2 linked regions of the Alligator mississippiensis genome follow. The protein of the gene in region 1 interacts with the protein of each later gene in a biochemical or structural test. Links are inferred from orthologs where the notes say so. Each region holds a gene or a part of one and is shown on either strand. Other genes may lie near its edges.

Region 1 (7,772 bases):
GAATAATAAAACAAATCACAAACAACACACCATGTACTTAAAGTATGGGACTCAGATATTGAGGCAAAGAGTCTGGTAAGATTCAAAACAGGATTAGATATCTGTGGTATGGATACACATAACACTTAAGCTGGTTTAAATGAAGTTTAAACCTGAAGCAGACAAACATGCAAGCCTGTTAAACTGATTTAAAGCTTTGCCTCAAGACAGAAATTACACATGAACCAGTATAAGTGATCATAAACCAGTTCAAGTCTGTAACATGTTGTTCAAGTCTGTAACCAGTTCAAGTTGTGTAACATGACACAAATTCAGTGCACACAAACCACTTTCAAAATGACTGAAACCAGTTTAAGATAAACCTAGATGGATGTAGTATCAGACTTCACTGATTTAGGTTAAATTGGTTTATTGAATTTCTGTCCCAGATCTCCTCCCGATTCAAGTTAACTTGCAGTACCCTAGCATTGCAGGATGCTTTGCACCTCCCCCACAAGTCCTGGGAGGCATGCTCTAGCACCCACCTCCCCTTCAAGCTTTTGGCCTCAGCCACTGTAGGCGTGTGGCTGCATTTCCAAAATCAAAAGTGAATGTCTGTTTACTTGCTTATCCATTCAGTCTACACAGGTTAGACTAACCTAAGAAGATTGAATGGGTTCAGCTTCAGGCTTTTTGGCTATTTGTACTTAGCCAAACAGTTCAAAAGTATACCTATAAAATTAATGCAAAACTATAAAATGGTTCAGAGATTATGCTTTTTATTAGACCAAAAAAGAAATTGCAAAAAACCCGATCTTTTTCTGCAAGCTTTTGGGCTCACATGCCCTTCCTCAAGCTCAGGAAAAATTAAAGATGGTAAAAAGTCCCCATAGGTAGGAAATAAACTTCATTTTTGTACAGAGGAAGCTGAAGATGTAAGTCTGTTCCTCTGGATCCATGAGAGTGTCTTTGTGAGTTGCTCTTTGTTGTGCAGATCAGGCAGGATTCCTTTCCTGGTGGTGTCAGATGGCAGATAGGCAGAGAGGTGTAGAAATCTACAGGCGGGCAGGGGGTGCAGTGCAGCCCAGCTGTGGGATGCACATGGCATTGCGGGGCCCCAAAAGCAGTGTCAGCAGCAGCAGGGTACAGAGCCCAGTGGGCAGCAGCAGCCCCCCTCCACCTGGCTGCCTGGGCTCCAACCCTCCCACGACCTGCTTTGGCTGGGACCCCATTCACCCCAGCCCCTGCCCCTGTCCCTTCCTCACTCCCTGCCTCACCGGGGGGGGGGGGGCCTCAATCTGCCATCCCCATGCCCCTTCCCCTTCACAGAGCAGACTGATATTTGCCTGCTGTGCTGGGCAGTGATCCACACCCTGAGCTGTGATCCTGGCTGCGTGTACACCCCTCTCCACCCTTGGAAAAGAAAAAGCAGGAAAACGGAAACGCCTCCACCCACTCCTGGATGTTTTGGGAACCCCAAAGCACGGGTGCAAGCACCTGCTTCTCCTTACCTGTCCATCACAAGGAATGCTGGCCTGGGCACTCACTCCCAGCCCCTGGCGTCAGAACCACAGCACTTGACAAAATTGTGAACCAGCCCCCTTTGGAATGGTTTAATTGTTATGTGTGTCCACACCATGCCTCACAACAATTGTAAGCAGTTTCCCATCTGCAACATTTTGGAATAGTTCAATTGTTCCATATCCACAGATGGGCAATAAGTATATTGTTCACAGATACATTGGCTAGTATAAAGAAATCTATAAGAGATATAAAGCCACTGGACAAAAGTCAACCATTATCCTGATTAGAGTTAAGAAGCAACTTCTCCCATAGATGTATTATTGCATAACTGACCATTATTATTCAGCTAAACCATCGGTTAATGGCTACTGGAAGAGAAAAAATACATGGACCTTTTTTCTGAGGTGGTGTGAAAATATTTATATTCCTACCTATTTATAAGAATATTTATATTCTTATAAACAAGGACTTTTGATCAGTTGACCTGTGATGTTGTAGATCCACCCATCATGTTACCACATACCTACCCGTATATGAGTTCTTACCCAAGATACATACTGGAGGGTAAGACTAAACTCTTAAAACCTTATACTGCCCTCAAATTACATGTTAATAATCCACAGGTATCAATGAGAGGGGTGCAAGCAGATAAAGTACAGTACAGGGCCACTAAACTTTGAAAACACAAAATTAAAAGTTATTTTCACATTCTTGGTATATAAGTAGTATTCAGAGTCTGGAGAGACTCTTACAGTCCCCTGTAGTGAACATATAAAATGGGATTATCAAAGTCTACAGAGTGCTGAGTCAGACTTCCTCCACTGCGGGAAGATTACTTCATTGCAGGGTCTTTGAGGGCTGAAGTTGCATGTGGTAGCTGTGCCCTCACTGTGCAGAGGACTTTCGATCAGTTGACTTGTGACGTTGCAGATCCACCCATCATGTTACCATGCACCTACTCGTCTTCCAAAGCTGCCACAAATTTTTTCAGTGGCCTGGGATTCATGCTTATGTTTCTTGGCTGCACTGTGCTATTGCCTTCTGTGCCTTTTATACCAAGAGTGCAGTTTTTAGCCTTTGAGGAAGTTGTTCTGGAAAGAAAAAGATTGTGTTATCACCGTTCACTTGATTACTGATTACCAATTTTATAAATGTGTATGTGTAAGTATAATGTCATGAATGACATACATAAGAATGACATACATGAATGTCATATAAATACCATGTTTACTGCAAACTAATGTCTATAAGCTATATGTTATTGCTAAAGTAATTATTAACACATACATACATCAGGGTCATAAATCACACACACAGATCTTTTTTTTAATCTCAACATCCATGTCAGTTTAAAGAAATAGAGCCTTTTACAAAAAATTTGAATGAAAAAATAGCATTATAGAATTTAACCTAAAAAAAAAAAATTACACTTTTTGAGTTTAATGATGCTTGATTTCAGAAAGAAAGAAGCATGCTTATAAAAACAACCAGTAAGATGCAGTAACTGGTTTTAAATAGTATGACATACATTTTGGAGCAAATTAATACATTTTTTAAATTATGAAGTAAGAAGAATTATTTTCGCACTCTAAAAGGTGCTGTATTGATCAATACATTTTAACCTGCAAGGTCACAGCTAGTCTAATGACTTGTGGCAAGCACCATTTAATCCATACTTTCAGTAGCAGCAGTGATCTGTTAAAGCACAACATCATTTTCAATAGTTATGTCAACAGGTGCTGGAAAGAGCATCATGTGCATCAGATTGGTGGTGGGAGAGCTATGCATACATTTAACTGCCTAGCCCCTTTATAAACTAGTGTCCCTTCAAATTTTCTCAGCCATGGTTAATTTAAAATGGCGGTGGGAAAGGGAAGAATGTGGAAAACTTTTAAAGACTAATGAAACCTATGCCCCACATCTTTTTCACACATGTTCAGTCATATGGCATTGCTCTGGAGTGGCAATGTAATCCTACACAGTATAAACGCATGAAGTGTTGACCTGGGGAAGTAAATCACACACCTGGTAGCTTTTATCCCCCTACTGCAGGGATAAAACATATATCAATTTGTGTAAATGGTAGCATATCAGTAAGAGTAGTATCTTGCTGCTTTTCTTTTTTGCTCTGACGGATGTGAAAGGTCTTTGCTTGTCTTCTTGTGTATATTAAGCCCCGAAGATCTCACTGGCACGGCAAGTGACAACTGGTGCCCGGGAAACTTTTATCCCCAATGTTTTTAATTTCCATCTGAAGACATAGAGAGGATTGGTTTGTTTTTGTTGTGTTTTTTGGCCTTCCCTTTTCCCCTCCAGTGAATTGTTGCAATGCTACCAAACGATCTCGTCCAAGAAGAGAAGGGAGGGCTATAACAAAGTGCCATGTTACAAGCTGCACAGAGGCAGACAAAAGCAGATGTGGGGGGGGGGGGGGGGAGAAAAAGAAAAACAAAGAAAAAACACCCCCAACCCCAAAACATGAGGGATTAAAAAAATAAAATAAAAAATCCTGCCCTACAGGATAAATGTGGAAGACAATGTTCCTTGCGGCCATTTGGGGTGGGGGAGAAAAATACACTTGCTCCTCGCTGTGTCCTTGCTCTTGGGGGGGTGCACATCCCGGGCAGGGGGATGGGGGGTGATGTTCCCAAGGTTTGCATTTGCGGAGGGAGCCGTGAGGTGGGCTGGGGAGAGAGCGAGGGAGACGGGCCGCCATATTTCTGCCTTTACCACGCCCGGAGAGGCGAGCCATTGACAAGTCGGGCTGCTGGATACATATTGTGCCTCTGCCTTCCCCCTCCGCTTGTAGTAAGGGAGAGGCAGGGACAAGGGGCGACAGCTCCGTCCGCCGCGGGAAGTAAAGCCCATTGGCAAGAAGATCCCCCGGCCCAGCCCAGCCCGCCCTGGCGCTCTCCACCGCCGCGGGGCAGAGCGGGGCCGGCAGCCGCGGCTATTAGCCGGGGGCTGGGGCGGGAGACGGGGGAGGAGGAGGCGGAGTAGGAGGCAAGCGGCGCCGGGGGTGGGGGTTGCGCGGGCCGGCGAGGAGCCGCCCGGTGGCTCTTTCCTCGGTGCCTGGCAGGGAGCGGAGGAGGAGTTGGCTCCGGCAGAGGCGTGGGGGTAGGGGCCGGTGCCTGCGCCTGCAGCCGGGCGGTGCGGTGCAGGGCGGTGCGGGCCGGGCCGGGCGTGTCCCCCGCGGCGCGGCGCTGCGCTGCGCGGCGCGGCCGGGAGCTCCGGGGGGCGGCGGGGGTGGGCGCTGCGCCGGAGCCCAGCCGGGAAGAATGACTCTGGAGTCCATCATGGCGTGCTGCCTGAGCGAGGAAGCCAAGGAAGCCCGGCGGATCAACGACGAGATCGAGCGGCAGCTGCGGCGGGACAAGCGCGACGCGCGCCGGGAGCTCAAGCTGCTGCTGCTGGGTGAGTGTGGGGCGCCCCGGGGAGCCCGCCCGGCCTCGGCCACGGCCCCGGCCCCGGCCGCTCCCCGCCACGCGCGCTTGCACACGCAGCTGTGGACATGCGTGTGCACATACACGCCCATACGCGTGAGCAGTTGTGCACTCGTCTGCCAGTTACACACACACACGCAGCAGTGCACATGCATGTGCAGGAACACAGCACGGAGGTGGACACACTTGTGCAGAAACATGCATGTGCACCCATCTGCCAGAATGACATGCATACACACAGGCAGACATGTACACACATATGCCAATGCAGATATACACGGGCAGCTGTGTACACGCACCCATCTGCCAGTATTACACACATGCATACACACACCCATGGGCAGCTGTGTACACGCATGTGCACCCATCTGCCAGATCTTGCATGCACATGCATACCCCCCCACACACACACAGGCGGCTGTGTACATGCATGCACACCCATCTGCCACTGCTCTTGCATGCATGGTTGGCTCCAGCTGTGTCTGGCTGCAGGGCTGGAGAGGAAACTAGAGGGGAATCAGCTCCCTCACAGCCCTGTGGGTGGATGGAGGAGACCATTCCAGTTCCACGCTCCCTGCCTTCTTCTAATGGGCACTTGCCACCAGCGTTGTGATGCTGATCAGGGCAACTAGGCGGGTGGGGGTGGGGGTGGGGAAGAGACACAGGGTGGTATGTGTGCAGGGGGTGAAGGGTGGGTGTTGCATTGTCTCCCTCAGCACTGCGACTACAGATGTGGCTGAGGCAATAATCACCTCTGGTTTCAGTTGGTGGGGAGGCTAGCTGTGGCCTTCCAAAATGGAGAGAGGGGCTGAGGGGGTGGAAAGGGATAAGGGAAGAGACTGATGCTTGTTTGCCACAGGCATGAAGAAGCAATGGCAAGGCGGCAGCTAAGTGAAAGGGCTGGAGGGGGGAAGCTGCTTTGCAGATTGATGGTGACAGGCGTTAATGTCTGTACTGTTCTGGGAGCCCTGGCGAAGGGGGCTGCCTGGCTGCATGTTGGAGCTATGATTTTTATTTAACGAGGTAAACGGAGATACATGGGATAGGCTTAGTTTATGGTCTATATCTGTATCTCTTTATACACATATTTATACACACACACATATATATACAGTGTGTGTGTACACATACATACACGCAAAACCTGAGCTGCACCCTGAAACTGACTTGTAGCCTACAAGCATGTCTGAGACTGACAGGTTCTTTAATACCTTTGGAATCCACCCATCGGTTAGGAAATGTCATTTACAGCATACAGCGGCCTTTCTTTTTAATCTCGGCAGAAGCTAATGCCATTTCAAGTAATTCTTTCTTAGAAATGTGGCTTATGTGCTCAAATAAGCCTCTTGAGTGAAAAGAAAAGGCTCCATGTCCAGACTATTGTAATAACGCATAGCCACTGTGGTAAGGGAGCTTTGTGCCTTGGACTAACAGGCCCTGAAAAATGTCTGCACCACTGTCTGGTGTTTGTGTGTCTGAATGTGTGTTGGGGAGAGCAGGGGGTGTATTGTGAAATCACCTCTCACATTCACAAGACGGGGACTATCCATTTTATTCAAAACATTCTGTCTTGTACTATGCGTAAAGGTGGTAGTTGATGCTGGGGAGTAAATTGTCTTTCAAATGAGCTAAAGGTGAGTCAAAGTGCAAATTAATTGAAATGACTGTTTATGAATCCATTCTTTCCCCTGGTGTTATTTTAATAAGATGATATTATTAAATCATATTGGTCTTAGATTTAGATTAAGGTATTGGGGTTTTAATGGGTGTGGAGAAATAGCAGGAGGAGACAGAGGTTGACATTAACATTACAATTACTTTGGTTTTGGTAGTGTAAGAGTGGCATTGTATGCGTAATGGTCCAGACAATAATGTGAGTCAATAATGTATATAGTTGGTCCAATAAAAGATATCACCCTAAGAAATCCTTGCCTCCCCCTTTGGTTTTGGTTTAATTTTGCATTTTCAGGTTTGAAGTAGAGAATAACATAACCTGCATGTGCTTTAATGGATATTTACTAAAATGTTTTATACATTTTATTCAAGAAGAATTTGACTGGTGGTACAGTAGTTCTCAGTTGTTTCTGCATTTCCTAGGTTTTCCTTCAATAATGCTTGCGGGTTTCTCCCAAGGTTTTGGAGAAGTAAAAAATTTGTGGAAGGATATAACTGTGTTCTCTCAAAAGTAAGGACAATTGAAAAGTACAAAATATATAGTTTAAAAGATTTAAGCTCCATTCTACAGTCTATGATGGATGAATTTAACTTAATATACAAGTAGTCTCAGTGATTTGTAAGATTTGCCTGCTGGTAAAATTAAGTGCATGTGACTGATAGCATGATCTGGGCCAAATTTTGACACTGCTTAAGCCAAATTAAAGGGGTCAGATTTAAAACTAGAACCAATAAGGGGCTGTTATTTTTATAGATTGGAAGAAAATACAGAGTTTATCCGTATTAGGGATTCTTGCACTGTTGTTTCAATGCTAGCGTAGACCTTCTGTTTTAGTATGCTTCATTAGGGCAAACTGAGAAAATTGCAGTAGTGCAACTCTTTTTTATAAAGAGTGATGCATCTATATTGGGTGTCCGTGCCAGTGTAGCAAGATCAGTAGAGAAGTCCCTGATGCATAGATGCCTTAATTGTTTTTAAATAAAATTTTATTAAAAGGAAACTTGCATCTTTAAGTCATACACATGACTGAAAATGGGGGTGGTGAGGTGGGGTATGTGTATTGTTGGGCTTCATACCTGAAAATGGTATATGAATTGTTGGATTTAACACCTAGAGCTCTTAATCCTGAAAAAGTGCTCCATACAGGCAGT
Region 2 (7,819 bases), on another chromosome or scaffold:
AAGAGGCCCTGTGAGAGGGGGCGGTATGTATGACTCTCCCACTCCTTATTTCTACCATGCTACAAGGCCTTCACATCCCCCCCCCCCCCCACATTGTAGAATCATATAAAATGAGGGTTGGAAGGGACCTCAGGAGTCCAGCGGTTCTTAACTTTTTTTTGTACCCGGACCCATTTGAAAACATAGATGGCCAGTCCCCACACAGTGCCCCCCACTCCTGACCCATTACCCCCTGTCCCCAGTCCCCCAGCATGTGGAGCAGGGGGTGGATATGTGAGGTGGGGGAGGGGGGCAGCCCCTTGCAGGCTGGAATTCTGCCAGCCTGCAAGGGAAAAGCCATGTTTTGCCATGTTTGTCTCCTTTAAAGGAGAATCCATTTTTAAAGTTTGTTCACCACCCTTTCATATATTCTTGTGATGTCCATTTGGGTCATGACCCACGGGTTGAGAATCACTAAATCTAGTCCAAGCCCCTGCTCAAAGCAGGACTAGCCCCAACTAGATCACCCCACCCAAGCTTTGCCTATCTGGGTCTTTAAAACCTCCAGGGTTGGACATGCCACAGTCTTTCTGGGTAACCTATTCCAGTGTTTTACTACCCTCCCAATGAGAAAGTTCTTCCTAATATGTAAGGGTATAGCGTTGCTGCTGAGTTTTCTTAGATTTACTCAAAGAATCTTGTCTGCCTATGTCCTTAGACCAACATGACTACAGCCTATACCCCTGTAACATGGAAGATATCGAATTATGCCATTTTGAAATGGAAACTACACAACATGAAAAAGAAAGAAGTCAAACTCAACAGTGACTCTGGCTTCTTTACTATTCGTTCCATCCAGGAAGAGCATAGACCAACTGCAGATGCTTCCTCAGCCTGATGAAGGATATTTATACCCGCAAGCTTGCAAAGAAGAATTTTTCCAACTATTTGAGTAGGTCTAATAAAAGTTTTATCTTAATATCTAACCCCTCCAAAGGGGTCTAATAAAAGTTTTATCTTAATATCTAACCCCTCCAAAGTCCACCACCTCTCTGGGTAACCTGATCTAGTGTTTTACTACCCTCTAGGGTTGCCAACTCCATTTGAATCTATTTTGGGAGGTTTCTGCAATGCCACCATGCCCACGACACAACACAAATGTGCCTGCATGCTTACATATATCAGTTAGAGAGTAGAATGTGAAGACTTTACATCAGGAAGGCAAATGCACATGACTATTACCTTTAAAAACCCACTGGACTACTTAATCAGATTCAACATTTAATATTTATTTTCATGAATGCCCTATCGTTTATCTTCTGGGGGACTCTCTGCAGTCTCCTGGAGATTTATATCTAATTCCTGGAGATTCCAGGGCAATCCTGAAGGGCTGGCAACCCTACTACCCTCCTAAGGAGAAAGATTTCCTAATATCTAACCCCTCCCATGATGGAGAGTCCACAGTCTCTCTGGGTAACCTGCTCCAATACTTTCCTACCCTCCTAGGGAGAAAGATTTCCTAATATCCAGGGATCCTGATTTTCTCTGATTTAAAAAAAAAATCCCCTATTTTCGGTTAAAACTGCCCACCCCAAATCCACATTTTTCCATGATTAAATTGAAACATCACTATATATATAGTTGTTGATCCTTCACAAGTGAAGATGACTGCATCTGGCGGCTGGGGGGAGGGGCGGGGAGGAGAAGAGAGAAAGGAAGCCGGAAAGAAAAAGGGAGGGAGAAAAGAGAAAGGGAGAAAGAAGAGAGAGGAGGGGGGTGGAGGCTAGGTCAGATGGGTAAGCAGGCGATTTATAAGCCCAATCTTTGCCCTGAACAATCTGCTGCAGCAGATACAGGAGAGCGACGAGGACTGAGAGGTCCTTGTTTTCCTGGCCACACGATTCCTCACTGCCTCTGCCATGTACCGCTGCTTGAAGGCCAGTGCTCCACTCTGGACCAATGACCTCCAAGATGGACAGTCACGAGCAATTTGCTCCCATGACTGCGGGGCAATGCTGAAACTCTTTAGGGACATGTGACAGGGCACCTTTGGGTGCCTGCCACTCTAAAGGCAGAATCAGGCAGCTACCAGGTGCCTGATGATGGCAGCCATTTTGAGAACAAGGGATACTAAGGCTGCAGATTGCTGCTGCCAGCCCAGGCAGAAAATCACCTTGATGAGCTTTAGCAGGAACATCTGGAAGGTAAGAGCAAGAGGCTTGTGGTCCTGGGCATCACCTAAAACTGAACTCTGCTAGGGAAGGGTGGCCTGGTGGGGCTCTTAGTGGCGTGGAAGCCCCCAGGAAATGCCAGGCTAGTTACCTCCCCAGTGAAAGGCAAGGAGGGTCACCTTAACCTCAGCCCCCATCTGTGGGTGGGCTTTGGAAGCAGCTGTGGGAGTAGGGGGGCCAGGCACTGCAAGCAGAGTGCCACCTGAGCCCAGCAGGGATGTGAGATCCTGGAGACCCCAGAGGGGGTAAGTGTGGGGAAAGTAGTTGTGTGGCCCCACCCAGAAGAGAGCTGAAAGAGAGTAGGTCTGAAGGGCAGTCCCAGGGGTGTTCTGAGTTGGGCCAAACTGGGAGTAAATTTGAAGGGCAGCACAAGGGCCAGCCCCATGAATAGTTGATCATGAAGATGAGAAGCCCCAGGGTGGGGCGTGGTGTAGAGGCCCTAGACAGGGTGTAGTAGGAACCCCACATATAGGGAAGAGGCCAAGGCATGGTCGTGGATGTCTGAGGCTGTAGTTTGGACCGAATTGCCGAGTAGGGGGCTGAGCCAGAGAGTTAGGGGTGAGTCCTGACCCCGGTAAGTCCTCCGCTGCAAGGAGGCCGAGGGTGGGTTGAAAGAAAGACCTTAGTTTCATAGTAGCTAGGGTCAGGAGGGACCTGAACAGATCATCTAACCTGACCCCCTGCCACAGGCAGGAATGAATGCTGGGTTCACAAGACCCCAGACAGGTGATCATCCAACCTCCTCTTGAATTTGCCTAAGGTAGGGCTGAGGACCACTTCCCTGGGAAGTTGGTTCCAGATTTTGGCCACCCTAACTGTAAAATACTGCCTTCTGATCTCCAACCTAAACCTATTCTCCATCAGCTTATGACCATTGTTCCTCGTCACCCCAGGTGGTGCTGGGAAGAAAAGAGCTCTGCCTATTTGCTGTTGATCTCCCTTGATGAGCTTGTAGGCAGCCACCAGGTCCCCCCTCAGCCTCCTCTTGCTGAGGCTGAACAGGTTCAGGTCCTTCAGTCTCTCCTCATAGGGCCTGTCCTGCTGCCCTCTCACCAAGCGGGTGGCCCTCCTCTGAACCCTCTCCAGGCTGGCCACGTCCCTTTTGAAGTGTGGTGCCCAGTACTGGACACAGTACTCCAACTGCGGCCTGACCAAAGTCGCATAGAGGGGGAGTAGGCCTGCCTTAAGGGCAAGCACAATGACCTGCAGCTCCAGGGAGGGAGTGAGAGTCCCTGTGAGACCCTGGAGCACTAGTCATGGTGTAGGTTATGATTACATCATGTGGATGCCATCTGCGAGGCATGTGCTGTAGTGTAGGAAAGGTTTGGAGCCGCAGATAGCACCCCCTGGCATCAGGGCATGTAATGGGCAGTCTCCCACTTTTACCACCAGTTTATGGAAACAACAAAGTCGTGGCAGGCGAAACTGGGTGGACTGCCCCATAGAGACAGATGGGCGGGCTGGCATGAGACCTGGCCCTGAGAGTTGTTCCCTCTCACAGGCCTTGTACCACTTCTTTGGTGCGCCACTAATGTGTACTCCATTTGACTGTCGCAGAAAATTTTCTTTAGCAGGTGAATGTCGGGCATTCTTGAAAGATGGCCAGCCCAACAGATATTAGGTGGCTGATATCTATATATTAACGGTGTTTCATTTAAATCATGGGAAAATGTGGATTCATGGTTATTTTTTTTTAACTGAAGTTGGGGATTTTTTTAATTGGCGAAAACCAGGATCCCTACTAATATACCCCACCAAGGATGGTGTGTCTGGTCAACCTGCTCCACTGCTTTCCTACCCTCCTAGGGAGAAAAAATATTCTAATATCTAACCCCTCCAAGGATGGCGAGTCCACCACCTCCCTCGGTAACCGACTCCAGTGTTTTACCATCCTCTCAGTGAGAAGGATCTTCCTAATACCTAACCCCTCCAAGGATGGAGAGCCCACAGCCTCCCTGGGTAACCGGCTTCAGTGCTTCCGGCCCCCCCAGGGAGAAAAAGTATCCAAATAGCTAACCCATCCAAGGAGGGAGAGCCCACCACCTCTCTGGGTAACCCGCTCCACTGCTTTCCTACCCTCCTAGGGAGAAAAAATATCCCAATACCTAACCCCGGCCAGGATGGAGAGTCCACGGTCTCTCTGGGTAACCCGCTCCACTGCTTTCCTACCTTCCCAGGGAGAAAAGATATCCTAATATCTAACCCCTCCAAGGAGGGAGAGCCCACCGCTTCTCTGGGTAACCCACTCCGGTGCTTTCCTACCCTCCTAGGGAGAAAGATGCCCTAATAGCTAACCCCTCGGAGGATGCAGAGCCCACCGCCTCTGTGGGTAACCTGCTGCAGTGCTTTCCTAACCTCCCAGGGGGAAAAACGTTCCTCCTACCTAAGCCCTCGCAGGATGGAGAGCCCGCAGCCGCTCCGGGGAACCCGCTCCAGTGCTTTCCTGTGAGCCAGTCCCGACGCGACCCCCCCCGGCCGCGGCTGCCCGTCATGGCCGGCAGGTGGCGCTGCCCCGCCGTGACCCGGCGCTGGGAAAGTTGGGGGCCGGGGCGGGCTGGGAGGAGGCGGCGGCAGCGGCGGGGCGCGCGGCTCGCCCGCGTGCGGATGTGTATATAGGCGGATGCGGCGCTGCATGGCTCGCCGCGCTGCAGCCCTGTGAGCTACTGCTGCTGCTGGCACCGCATCCCTGCAGCGGCGGCGGCGGCGGCGGCTCCGCCTCGCCCCGCGCCATCGGCTCTCGCCGCCGGGGAGCGCGGCTCCATGTGCCGCAGATGGCTGGGGCGCAGCCCGGGGTCCATGCGCTGCAGCTGCAGCCCGTGCGCGTCTCCGACGGCCTCAAGAAGGGCACCAAATTCGTCAAGTGGGACGATGTGAGTCACCACCCCCCGCCTCGGGCCCTGGGCTCCCCCCGGGGACGTGGGGAAGGGGAGGGCGCAGCCGCGGGGCTGCTGCGGACACATGTTGGGAGCTGGCGGCCCGCCACATGTTGCCAGGTGCTGGCGGGGTGTGCCCGCCGGGAGGGGGCCGGGGCTTGGGCGTGCTGCCAGGGTGGGGGAGCCCTTCCTCCTCTAAGTGCCCCTGGGGGTGGGAGAGGGAGCGGGGAGGGTGGCTTTGGTGGGGGAGCAGGGTGAGGCAAGGTGTCTCCTTGCCCTGCGTGACCGGCCCTGGTTGTTCAGGCTCCGGACACAGCAACTTTCTCTGCAGCCTGAAAACTTTTCTGAACTCCCTTTGTCTTGCCTGTTCCCGTTCCCCTGGTCTGGCTGGGATCTCGCCCCTGCTCTAACTGCTTGGTTTCATCCCACCTCTTCTCTCTTACCTTTCACTCCACCCGCCCTTCCAGTCCTTTCCTCTTCCCTTCCCCATCCCCTGTTCTCTCCCGCCGTCCTGCCTGCTCAGCTTTTCTTCTGTCTTCTCTCCACCTGCCACACAGCCCACAAACACCGTCTCCTACCTAAACCCAGCACTCGCTCAGTGCAGCTCCCTGCCTTTGCAAATGGGCTACCACTTCGTGGCCCCCTTGCCAAGAAATCGTATGCTTCCTGACCAAAACCATCTATCTCGCAGGGTGTTTTCATCTCTGACTTCTCCAAATCTCTTGCGTGCACTTGTTGCTGCTACACCTGTATGTTCCTGTCTTCAGTATGGTCATTCACACAGGCAGCCTCCTTTCCTCCCTGAAACACCTGCTGCTTCTGCTTCTTTTCAGTTCAGTGCTGCTTCATTATGGAGATGTGTAGTAGCTTGATGGTGGTCCCAGTAGCTGGGACTTCTTTCATCCCTCACAGACTGTGCCGGGGACCTTTTCAGAAGAAGGCAGCATTCTTCTGTCATCTTCTTTTGGGCTACCACAGTTAAGGGAGCAATGGAGAAGCAAAGCAGAGGGACAGCTTTCCTGTTAACCTGTTCCCATAGAAATTGCTCCTCAAGTAAAGCATCAGGAGTCTGTCTTTCCACACACAGATACCTCTAAAAGGGCAGGGGTGGGCAGTGAAGTGTATTTGGAGGAATTGCTGGGGTGGAGAAGTATAGGTATTGGGCAGCTTGGCACACTACGCAGCTGGAATAGGAGAACCGGTAAAGAGAACTTGTTTCTAAGAGCTACTTTTCCACTAGTGTAGCTGTCAAACAGTGTTGCTGTAAAGTTTACACTCCTGGAGACAAGCACAGTAACAGCTAGAGGGCTAGCTGAGAGAGAGTGCTGTCCATGTGTGTGACAGCCCTTCCAGTTCAGTTGCCTAGTACAAAGTTATCATTTCTCTCAACATGTCAAGGAACCAAATGTGCGATCCCGACCTTTATAAACCTGTGACACACACTTATAGTGAGATGCGACACCAAAATTTGGGAAGAAATCTTGAAGCAACGTGGGACGTATTTACTAAACAGTTCCCATCTAGTTAGGTTCATGCCTGTACCTCTAATTTACAGTAATGAACAGTGAGATAACATCAGGTTTGCTGGAGGTAGCTTTGAGTCTAGAATGAATGAGTTAATTGATAGTTGGATAGAGCTGACCGATGTAGGCTCTTCTTGCTGATTAGATTTGCCAGACTATAGATCGCGACATTCTTAGCTTTGGTATTGTAATTATGTTTGCATGCTATTTTGCCAACAAGTACATAAACAATACATACGTTGAGAGCCTGTTAATGGCAACTTGTACTTTCCAGGTAAAGAATCCAAGCCATTGGGCAAAATACATAATCCGTGTCTAATATTTTTGCCCCCTCAGATATGTAACTGTGACAGGAATGTGGCTCTTTGCAATATGCTTCTGATATTGCTGCTTTGAAAGTTAGGACTGAATTCTTTCCTGTTATGAAAAGCTGGTGGAGTTATGCTTGCAGATACTTCCCTGCTTAATTCTTAGGTTGAAAGCTGTTACTAAAGCGTTAGGCTGTATTTGTGGGTCATTAGAGAAGAAAAGGTGCACTGTATGAAAATGGATTCGTCCTGTAAAATGTGTTTACTTTGCTTATTATATAGACTGAAAGAAAACACAATATTAAGCATTATTGTTCTGGTAAGACAATATGTCCAAAATCTGGGAAAGGACGTAAATTTTAAATTAAGGTATGCCCTGTAATATCTGGCTCTTATCCTGTGACCTTATGCAAAAGAGTAGATCCCCATGCCCAGTCCCCTGAATCTCAGTAGGGTTTTGTGGGAGCAAAAGGGGCGTGTTTATATAGGATTGGGGCTATATTATGTAAAATCATCGGCTGTTTGACAGCAGACATGGGCATAACATAGTGAAATAAAGAGTTGTTAGCCTTAACTCTTATACTTGAATTAACAGCAGCATATTTAGCATGTTTCCCCACAACACGTACTTCCAGCAGTGGAATTGCCACAGGAATGAAACATTGTGATGGAAGTGAACATATTTTGGCACTCTAGTATGGGAAATTTCATCTGTAAAAATGATCAGTGACATTGTAAAGTATGTACTATTGACCCATCAACACCCAATTTGGAGTTTTTGTTAATTATCCTGTGAATCTGTATTAAGGGACTTGTAAAAATTGGGATTCTTGCCCGAGCCTTTGTGGTCCATTGAGGGAATAAGAATACTTCAAGGAAACAATAGGACATGATGATGACAAATA

The links. The genes of interacting proteins can lie anywhere in the genome.
Region 2: the proteins of guanine nucleotide-binding protein G(q) subunit alpha (region 1) and PLCB1 form a complex in vitro, tested with the Homo sapiens proteins (2 studies listed by BioGRID, with this or other methods). The link is inferred for Alligator mississippiensis from reciprocal best matches to the Homo sapiens genes GNAQ and PLCB1.

The regions. Positions count from the first base shown.
Region 1 is NC_081826.1:199,600,270-199,608,041, reverse strand, and holds the start of guanine nucleotide-binding protein G(q) subunit alpha, read left to right. Parts: upstream 1-4,764; 5' UTR 4,765-4,781; coding exon 4,782-4,917; intron 4,918-7,772.
Region 2 is NC_081824.1:224,900,968-224,908,786, reverse strand, and holds the start of PLCB1 (1-phosphatidylinositol 4,5-bisphosphate phosphodiesterase beta-1), read left to right. Parts: upstream 1-4,816; 5' UTR 4,817-4,981; coding exon 4,982-5,080; intron 5,081-7,819.